3 linked regions of the Macaca fascicularis genome follow. The protein of the gene in region 3 interacts with the protein of the main gene of each other region in a pairwise test. Links are inferred from orthologs where the notes say so. Each region holds a gene or a part of one and is shown on either strand. Other genes may lie near its edges.

Region 1 (3,038 bases), about 42 Mb from region 3:
CGTGTGAATACAGAGTGCCGATTTTATCCAGGACTTCACCTGTAACTCCCTATACCTATCAATAGCTGACTCCAAATTAGAAAGAAATAAGAGTAAGGGAGTCTCAGGGAGAGAGTCCTAGCAAAACGGATTCGATTAAACTTCAGTTCCTTGTATAGTTTCTCTAGTTGTTTATGGTCCATCTTCTATTTTAGCATTTATTATTCCATGTAGTCTATCCAAAGACGATTAAGGGAGTTCCAAATGTTTTCCGGAATATTTTGAAAAGAGAGCTTATCCAGTGTACAGATCCTAATAAAGTGCACATTCAGTGTAATTTTATTTTTTAGTATGTTACTTTTTAAATTCTATTTATTTTTCTTTCTCTTTTGCTCAGTAAATTTTGCATGAAACTTTAAGTACTTCTGGCATGTAAACATTATTTGTAAAATAAGTCATGGTTATAATTATTTTTCTCCTGCCTCCTTATGTATTTATTTCAGAAATGAGCCGTCAGACTGCTACAGCATTACCTACCGGTACCTCGAAGTGTCCACCATCCCAGAGGGTACCTGCCCTGACTGGCACAACTGCATCCAACAATGACTTGGCGAGTCTTTTTGAGTGTCCAGTCTGCTTTGACTATGTGTTACCACCCATTCTTCAATGTCAGAGTGGCCATCTTGTTTGTAGCAACTGTCGCCCAAAGCTCACATGTTGTCCAACTTGCCGGGGCCCTTTGGGATCCATTCGCAACTTGGCTATGGAGAAAGTGGCTAATTCAGTACTTTTCCCCTGTAAATATGCCTCTTCTGGATGTGAAATAACTCTGCCACACACAGAAAAAGCAGACCACGAAGAGCTCTGTGAGTTTAGGCCTTATTCCTGTCCGTGCCCTGGTGCTTCCTGTAAATGGCAAGGCTCTTTGGATGCTGTAATGCCCCATCTGATGCATCAGCATAAGTCCATTACAACCCTACAGGGAGAGGATATAGTTTTCCTTGCTACAGACATTAATCTTCCTGGTGCTGTTGACTGGGTGATGATGCAGTCCTGTTTTGGCTTTCACTTCATGTTAGTCTTGGAGAAACAGGAAAAATACGATGGTCACCAGCAGTTCTTTGCAATTGTACAGCTGATAGGAACACGCAAGCAAGCTGAAAATTTTGCTTACCGACTTGAGCTAAATGGTCACAGGCGACGATTGACTTGGGAAGCGACTCCTCGATCTATTCATGAAGGAATTGCAACAGCCATTATGAATAGCGACTGCCTAGTCTTTGACACCAGCATTGCACAGCTTTTTGCAGAAAATGGCAATTTAGGCATCAATGTAACTATTTCCATGTGTTGAAATGGCAATCAAACATTTTCTGGCCAGTGTTTAAAACTTCAGTTTCACAGAAAATAAGGCACCCATCTGCCTGCCAACCTAAAATTCTTTTGGTAGGTGGAAGCTAGACACATGAAGGTAAATGAAAGGAAAGGCTGTTAAATACAGGAAACAGTTGCATGTAGTAACACTAATATATTTAAAAATAAGTCAACAGTAAACCACTGAAAAAATATATGTATATACACCCAAGATGGGCATCTTTTGTATTAAGAAAGGAAGCATTGTAAAATAATTCTGAGTTTTGTGTTTGTTGTAGATTGATTGTATTGTTGAAAAATAGTTATTTTGTTTTGTTTTTGCGTGGGAGTGTGTGCGTGCGTGGGTGTGTGCGTGTTTGGGTTTTTCTCCTTTAACTGACAAGCCATCTTGAGTGGTCATGGGCCACTGCTTTTCCCCTTTGTGAGTCAATACATAGTGCTGCTGTGTGCTTTTTTGTGTGTGTATTTGCTAATTTTTATTAATTTTAGTTTTTCATTAAATAAATTTGACTTTCCTTTCTGTAATTCAGGTTTTTCTTCACTTTTTTTGTACCATTTTAAAGTTAGTGTCTTTTGATATGCATACTTGTTATGGTAAAAGTTTGTAACATGTGTTCAATATTTTCTTTTCCCCCATTAATCAGTTCATTAGAAATATTTTAAAATCAGCTACTTTGTGAAGCTATGAGTTCCAGAAAGTAAAGGTGACATCGGAAAAATGATCAAAAGCTATTTAAAGCATCTGTAAGATGGTCTCTCTCTTTCTCTCTTCTACGGATGAGTCACACCTTTGAGCTTAATCTTTGAAAGGTTAGAGAATAAATTGATTTTTATAAGTACTGCAAATCAGGCTTTTGTTTCCTTTTTCAAATATCTTGGATAAATCACATGTTTAAAATTTGTTCTTGTATTTATTGGTTTTGCAAAAGAAGGCATCGTCATGCACAGTATTTGTAATTAAAAGCAAATCATTTGTTTAAAAAGGCAGTTTGCAAAAAAATGTTTTTGGTCTTTTATAATTCTCATTAAAAGAATTTCTGGCAAATTAAAAAAATCTTACTGTGTCTGCTTTAGCTCTAAGTTTGATAAAATCCAAAGTTATTTTCCTGTTTCATTCCGTACTTTAATTATATAGCAGAAAGCTGTGTGTTGTCATTTTTAAGTGTGGTAGAGTTATACTCTAAATCACAGCAAATAACTGGGTATATGGCTTCTGGATTACAGTCTTTCCCATGCTCTGCCCCTCTTGCCCACATTTTGATTCTTACAACTGTCAGGAGAATGACTAAAATGCTGACCACTTTTCACCTCTTTAAAAAAGCACAATGAAATAATAAATTTACTATTTCATAGCCTAGTGGTTAAGAGCCTTGGTTCTGCAGCCAGACTTCAGGCACCTAAGTGCCAGTCTCGGCTCTACCCCACTAACCAGCTGTGTGACCTTGGGCCCCAGTTTCCTAATGTGTAAAGTGGGGTTAAATTATGGTAGCTACTTAAAAAGTTTTAATGGGGTACAGGTATGTTACCTCAAACAGTGCTTTGTTCATATCAGCATCCAGTGAATGTTAGCTACCATTATGCCTTTAGTACCATGTAGTTAACTTGCTAATTACTTTGAGGCACATGGCAAGATTCTGAAATTGCCTTCTGAATAGTGAAAGATAATTTTGTGTGGTTTGTATTGG
Region 2 (2,610 bases), on a different chromosome or scaffold from region 3:
TATACAAGAGCCTAGACCACTAGACTGCAGTGGGTTCATACTGGTGAACAGTGGAAAATAAGAGCTTCCTAGGTAAAGATGGTAGAAGAACCCGATGAGCAGAGCAAAAGGATGTACCCTTGACTTGTTGAGTGGTCCTTGTAGGCTTTTGCACATGGATGAATGAGAGAAAATGTAAGTTCTAAGATAGTGGTACAGGGCAGAGTATATGGGGAGAGAAAAGTATGCAGGCACAGAGGGGGGACTGGAAAGGGTGCCCCTACAGTGCAGGCGGAATATCTGCAACCAGGCTGCCTTCCTGAGCCATTGTAAATCATGGTCGAAACATGTCATTGATGTCACTTCCAGTTTAACCCATTGAACAGGAAGATGAGGCTTGCTGTACACCCCAGTTGCAAAGGTAGACAGACCAACGAAGGTTCATTGCTGTCATTTTGGGTGAATCCGTGATAACGTTGTAAAAGATTCTCTCTTTTTTTGCCTTTCTAATTTTCCAGAAGCTCCACTAAGTTGTCCTATTGTCAGCATTTTTCACTTAACATTTAACTATATCCTTTGAAATGTAAGTTTTGAATACCATTTCCTGGGCTCACAGTCTGGAATGGAAGTGGATATACAGCTCTCGTGAGTCTGTAAAATCTAATCCTGTAAAAGAAAGAAACATATATACATGGTCTGGACAAAGGCTTTCCTGTATGGTCATGCAGTAATACACCACACGGTCCCAAAGGGTGCTCACTACCTCACAGACATCCTAGACTTTTTTTTTTTTTAAATAATTAGGATTTCACTTTGTCACCCAAGTTAGAGTACAGTGGCATGATCATAGCTCACTGCAGCCTCAACCTCCTGGGCTTAAGGGATTCTCCCACCTCAGCCTCCCAAGTAACTAGGACTACAGGTGCACACCACCATACCCAGGTTGTTGTGTTTCGTTTTGGTTTTTTGTTTTTTTTTTTTTTTGGTAGAGGTGGGGTCTCGCTATGTTGCCCAAGCTGGTCTCAAACTCCCTAGGTTCAAGTTGTCTTCCCACCTTGGCCTCCCAGTGCACTAGGATTATAGGCCTGAGCTACCATGCCTGGCCCTAGTCTTTTTAAATAATCATTTTGCCACTTTTTAGACAGAGAAAGGGGTACCTTTTCCTAATTTGCACTAAGTTAGCGTTAATCTCGGGGTTCAGTAGCTCTCCAGCTGTATAAGATGATGGAGACTTTATACACAGGCTAGAGTTCAGAGTGAAGACGGCTTTAGGAAAATGGAATCTCTTAACTCCTCCACTTCTTCCAAAGGTTTATGAAAACCCCAGATGAAATCATGAGTGGCCGAACAGACCGTCTGGAGCACCTGGAGTCCCAGGAGCTGGATGAACAAATATACCAAGAAGATGAATGCTGAAGGAACCAACAGTCCACCTCAGCGGGCCAGCAGCCCAGGGAGCCCCTGCACACCAGGATTGCTGGAGGTGTGACGGAGCAGGCGGGCTGAGGAGAGTGGAAAAGGAAGCGACCCAGAAATGGCAGGGACACTTCTCTTGCAGACGAAGAGGGACCCTGGAGCACCTTGGACAAACCACCCAAAGGCGGGGCTGGAATTCTGGCAGAGGGCATGAGCCTGGGACTCGCATGTCACGTTTCCTTCTCATTTGGAATCTCCATCTGTAATTCCTCACCCTCACCCTTCCACCGTTGTTAGTTTCATGGTGTTTTTGTTTTTATTTTAAGAACATGCAGTTTGACTCTTCATCATTCATCTAGGGGAAGACATCCGATGTTGTTTTCCTATGGAAATATATATCTATTATATATATATTTTTTGCAAACCTCACAAAGTGCGGCAAGCCCAGCTGGTCAGGAAAGAGAATACTTGCAGAGCGGTTCAGGTTCCTCTTTTTCCTGCCACATGGATCAGGTTTGTTCCTGTTACTGTTGGGTCTTGGCTGAAAAAAAAAAAAAAAAAAAATGCTTTTAAAAAAGATAAAATGAAAAGGAGAGCTCTCTTTTTCTCTCTCTTGCTCTGTTCTTCCCTTGGTCCCCTCTGTCCTCCCTCCCTGCCTGCTGTTGCGATTCAGATGCCTTCTGACAGAGTTCAGCCTCTTGGAGAGTCTTGGGGATTGTTGGCACCTAAACAGGATCAGTGACCTGGGTGCTTTGTGGCCAGCAGTACAGAATCAAACCCACATCCCAGCATTTGGCCACCCATCTGAGGGAGGCCAAAATCATCACAGATGCTGCTGTACTGCAGACAGATACATGCTAGTCCAGAGAGCCACCCCTGAGATGACTGTGAGAACCACGCATCTAAGGCGTAAGATAAGGACGGAAGGCCGTCCAAGTTACTTGGAAGGCCTCGGCAGTTGGGATTAGCTTGGGAGCGCTGCAAAGTGGAAAATATGAAAAGACCACACAGGCCCAGCAGTCTAGAAACTGGGCAAAAATCTTCTGCAGTGGAGATTTATTTTTCCAAAGCAGGTAGCAGAGGCTGGTGAGGAAAGATCCTCTCTGCTCCATTCCAAAGGCCATCTTGCCGTCAGTTTCATGCCTTCGCCTGATTTTTTTTTTTTTTTTCAGTTCCTAGCCTTTTTTAAAGTTTCCTGGTCTCCACTGGACACAG
Region 3 (3,653 bases):
ATCTTCCTCCCAGCTCCACGTGGATTGCCTGGCCCGGGCGCCACGGCCACAGCCTGGGGCCTCTTTGGAGAGGACTCCGATCCCCACAGGAACAGGCTGACTTCCAGGACACTCAACAGTGAGCTACTTACATTTTGGTGGTGAAGACGGATAATCATCTTTGAAAAGCATCCGTAGTTTAAACAAGCCTCCTTCCCACGGAGTCTGTGGGGAAATAAACTGTGGTGAGATGGGCGGCTTGCCCGCCTCAGGCCAGCCCAGGAGGAAGGGGCTCGCTTCTAGGACACAACTCCCACGACTGCCAGGACACCGGGGCCAGAGGCCCGACAGTGGCGGCTCCCAAACCAGCCTAAAGCCTGAACTGGCCCCACCAAGGGGACTGTCAGGACCTCTGCTGTGCCCAGAGAGTAAGTCGGAAAGGTCCTCCTAGAAAGGAGACGAGACGGGGTTCGGGGGCTGGGCCGGGGCGGCGGGTGCCACACACTGGGGCGGCAGCACCAAAAGCACAGCCTTCGCCCCAAGGGTTCTGCAAGCCCCGCCCCAGATCCTGCCTGGATGAGGCGCCTTTGCCACCCCACAATCCGACACCACTCCCGTCTTCCTCGGGGCCGCACACCTGCATCGCGGTGACGTGAAGAGCAGGGGACGTTCTCAGCAGAGCCTCAGACAAGCGACAAACCCAAGTGACACCATGTCTCAGGCAAAGCTGAGACCTGCTGGGACTACTCAGCTCAGGGGGACCGAAGCTGCTTTGAGTTTCAGAGTGAAACCCAGAGGGTGGCATGGGCCGGAGGGAATAAGGCCTCGGGCAGGACCAGCACCTCAGGGCTCTCTCCTTCCTTCAGGGTTCACCAGCATGAACCTTATGTGCACACCAGCCTGGAGTCCCCGGCCAAGTGCTTCACGGGAGCCGGGCAAAGACGACAGGCACACAGGCCGCCCTGCTCCCCACAGACACACAGGGGGCCCCAAGCAGGCATCCTAGGCTGCTGTCGCCAGTCCCTGTGCCCCAGGAGGTTCTCCAGGAGGCGGCTTTACGCCGGGGTGGCTCTCCAGCAAACCCAGCTCCCGTGACCTGAGCCACACCTGGAAGGACACAGCAGAATCCCGGGTTCCAGCCTGCAAAGGCTGCCCGCCCTCAGGCCTGCTCCCAACACACACCAGAGCCCCTCCCCTCTGCCACAGCTCAGCCCTGTGCCCAGCCTGCTTCCTTCTCAACCAGAAATGCCCTCGGTGGGGACACAGCTGTCACCCCAACCTTGCCAGCACCACCTTCTGAGCTCAAGTCCGCACGGGGCGGGGGCCAGGCCACAGCTGGGGATCTGACCTGTTGTCCGCAGCCCGTGACAAGGGCGGCCGTCACAGACGGCAGGGGCTGAGCAGTTTCCCTGTGGCGTTGCCACACGCATCTGTTGAGCCCCGACAGGCAGGAGGCTAGCAGCGCGCGCCTCTTACCCCTTTCTTTCCTGGAATGGCGCACTCCCAGTTCATGAGGTTCATCGTGCCATCGGGATTTTTTGTTGGGACAGCCACGAAACCCTGAGAGAAAACAACCACAAAAGCACATCAGTGCGGTGGCATCTCGTTTGACCAAAACCACTGAGAACCGGCCCGCGAGCCCCACCAGCGCGACCCAGGCACGCGGCCAGCTCCCTCCCAGTGGGGGGGGGCACGGTTTCAGCCCAGGGGGGCCGTCCGCGGCACTGCACACGGAAACGAAGCCCTCCTTACAAACGGGTGGTCTTTCCTCCATGCTTTCCTCTCCTGGGCGAGTCTGCTGAGGGCGATCCCCGACATGTTCAGAGTCCCTGGAACACAGGAGGCAGAGCACGGGGTCAGGACAGGCTAGCGGGCTCCTACCGCCCCGCCACGTGCACACGGCCCGCAGTGGGCAGTCTTGCTCCTAACAGGCGCCAGCCCAGCCCAGCAGAGACTCTCCTCCTGGAAGCCGTCGTCCGACCCCGGGGTCTACCAGGGGAGGCCTCATGAGTGGATCCCAGATCACCGGGGGTGGGGGGGCAGGTAGGACCCCTTCCCCATGGGCCCCCCGAGCCCTGGTCTGCGACACGTGCCGTGGCCTCTGCTCCACGGTGGAGACGGATGTTCAGAGGCTGGGCCACTGTGGCTGGGCGGTAGCTGCCACCCTGTGGTGGCTGGCGTGGCAGGGTCCTCACTGAACCGTCAGGTGGGGACTAGGCAGGGCTGGGTCCCCGCCTTACTATCAGGCGCTCAGAACTGAGACTCAAGCCGGGCCAGGGGGACACCTAATATTGTTGTTTTTTTTTTTTTTTGAGATGGAGTCTCACTCTGTCCCTCAGGCTGGAGTGCAGTGGCACTATCTCAGCTCATTGCAACCTCCGTTTCTTGAGTTCAAGCAATTCTCCTGCCTCAGCCTCCCGGGTAGCTGGGACTACAGGCCCCCGCCACCATGCCCGGCTAATTTTTGTATTTTTAGTAGAGATGGGGTTTCACCGTGTTGAAGACAGAGTGGAACAAGTACCACAGGGCAGAGGCTCAGCCTCGCTGAAAGAGGAGCCCCCCACAGGGCCACCGTTCCCGGACCCTGCAGACGCTAGCATGTCCCTGTGGCTTCAGGGGACAGACGGGTCCTGTGGGGCAGGGCAGGAGCATGGGGTACGGGACCAGGTCCCTGGTCAGAGGCAGCGGCACACACGCCAGATTCCAGCTCCACACTTCTGCACGGGACCTCAGGGGCTTGGCACCTTTGCCTTCTGGTTCCCAGCGGGAGCCTGTCGGCCCGCACTGTCCCCGGGGACACCAGGCAGACAGGGCCAGCAGCCTCGACACCAGCCTCACCTGTCACCCTACTGGTGGTCACCTTTACCATGAAAAACAGCACTCAGGGCACAAAACCTGCCAGAGAATTCAAACCCAAGTGTGTGCTGGTTTTCAAAGTCCACGGGAACACTGAAGCTGCCTCCAAGTCTGGCATCTCAGCGCCAAGCAAGGGCCACCTCAACAAAGCTGGGGGCTGCGCCAGGCCTTCCAAACTGTGGGGGGGCCGTCCCTACAAGGGCCCTGGTGACCTGGATGGCGCCCGCACCTGTGCAGGCCCACGAACCTCACACACCTCACAGCTGCAGGGAGGGGCCAGGTCAGCAGCTCCGCCTGGGCCAGAGCCGCCGCAGCCTCACCTGGCACTTGTTAGGGAGGCAAGGCCCAGTCCCCAGCAGACTCATTGAGGAAGGAGCTCCGAGAGGCCCACATTCAGGTTTTGGGCGGCGCGATGGCTTCCCGAGGCAGCAAATCAGAAATCAGGGGTGGGGCTGGGATCAAGGAAGCCCAGGCGGGTCCAGTGTCGCCAGGGAACCAGGGTGCTGGAAGCCAGGCGGGGCTGCTAGAGCCGCCTGCCCTGCAGGTGGATTTGGCTCCTTTTTAACCAAACACGGATCCTCAGGGCAGCCTGAGAAAAATCAGGCAAAGGAACCCGGGTCCTCCAGTCAGTAGGTGCTGGCATCACAGCGAGAGGGTGACAGGGGCCATCCAGGTACTGGCCTCCAGCTACACGATTAAGTCCAAGACAGGTAGCCCCAGACTGGGCCCCACCGGGATGTCCCTCCCCATACCCTCCTCACAGGGATGCGGAGGAGCCCGCAGGCCGCCTGCCCTCTGGACCACTTGCCCATCCCCAT

Evidence for each region.
Region 1: the proteins of UBE2I (region 3) and SIAH1 interact in a two-hybrid assay, tested with the Homo sapiens proteins (2 studies listed by BioGRID). The link is inferred for Macaca fascicularis from reciprocal best matches to the Homo sapiens genes UBE2I and SIAH1.
Region 2: the proteins of UBE2I (region 3) and ETV6 interact in a two-hybrid assay, tested with the Homo sapiens proteins (2 studies listed by BioGRID and IntAct, with this or other methods). The link is inferred for Macaca fascicularis from reciprocal best matches to the Homo sapiens genes UBE2I and ETV6.

The regions. Positions count from the first base shown.
Region 1 is NC_088394.1:44,266,502-44,269,539, reverse strand, and holds the end of SIAH1 (E3 ubiquitin-protein ligase SIAH1), read left to right. Parts: intron 1-482; coding exon 483-1,333; coding exon of another isoform or gene 1,334-1,436; 3' UTR 1,437-2,407; downstream 2,408-3,038. Other genes in the region: LONP2 (lon protease homolog 2, peroxisomal), read right to left, coding at 1,317-1,436. UniProt on the Homo sapiens protein: E3 ubiquitin-protein ligase that mediates ubiquitination and subsequent proteasomal degradation of target proteins.
Region 2 is NC_088385.1:14,669,075-14,671,684, forward strand, and holds the end of ETV6 (transcription factor ETV6), read left to right. Parts: intron 1-1,289; coding exon 1,290-1,395; 3' UTR 1,396-1,979; downstream 1,980-2,610. UniProt on the Homo sapiens protein: Transcriptional repressor; binds to the DNA sequence 5'-CCGGAAGT-3'. Plays a role in hematopoiesis and malignant transformation.
Region 3 is NC_088394.1:2,058,816-2,062,468, reverse strand, and holds part of UBE2I (SUMO-conjugating enzyme UBC9), read right to left. Parts: intron 1,809-3,653; 5' UTR 1,798-1,808; coding exon 1,732-1,797; intron 1,540-1,731; coding exon 1,456-1,539; intron 205-1,455; coding exon 132-204; intron 1-131. UniProt on the Homo sapiens protein: Accepts the ubiquitin-like proteins SUMO1, SUMO2, SUMO3, SUMO4 and SUMO1P1/SUMO5 from the UBLE1A-UBLE1B E1 complex and catalyzes their covalent attachment to other proteins with the help of an E3 ligase such as RANBP2, CBX4 and ZNF451.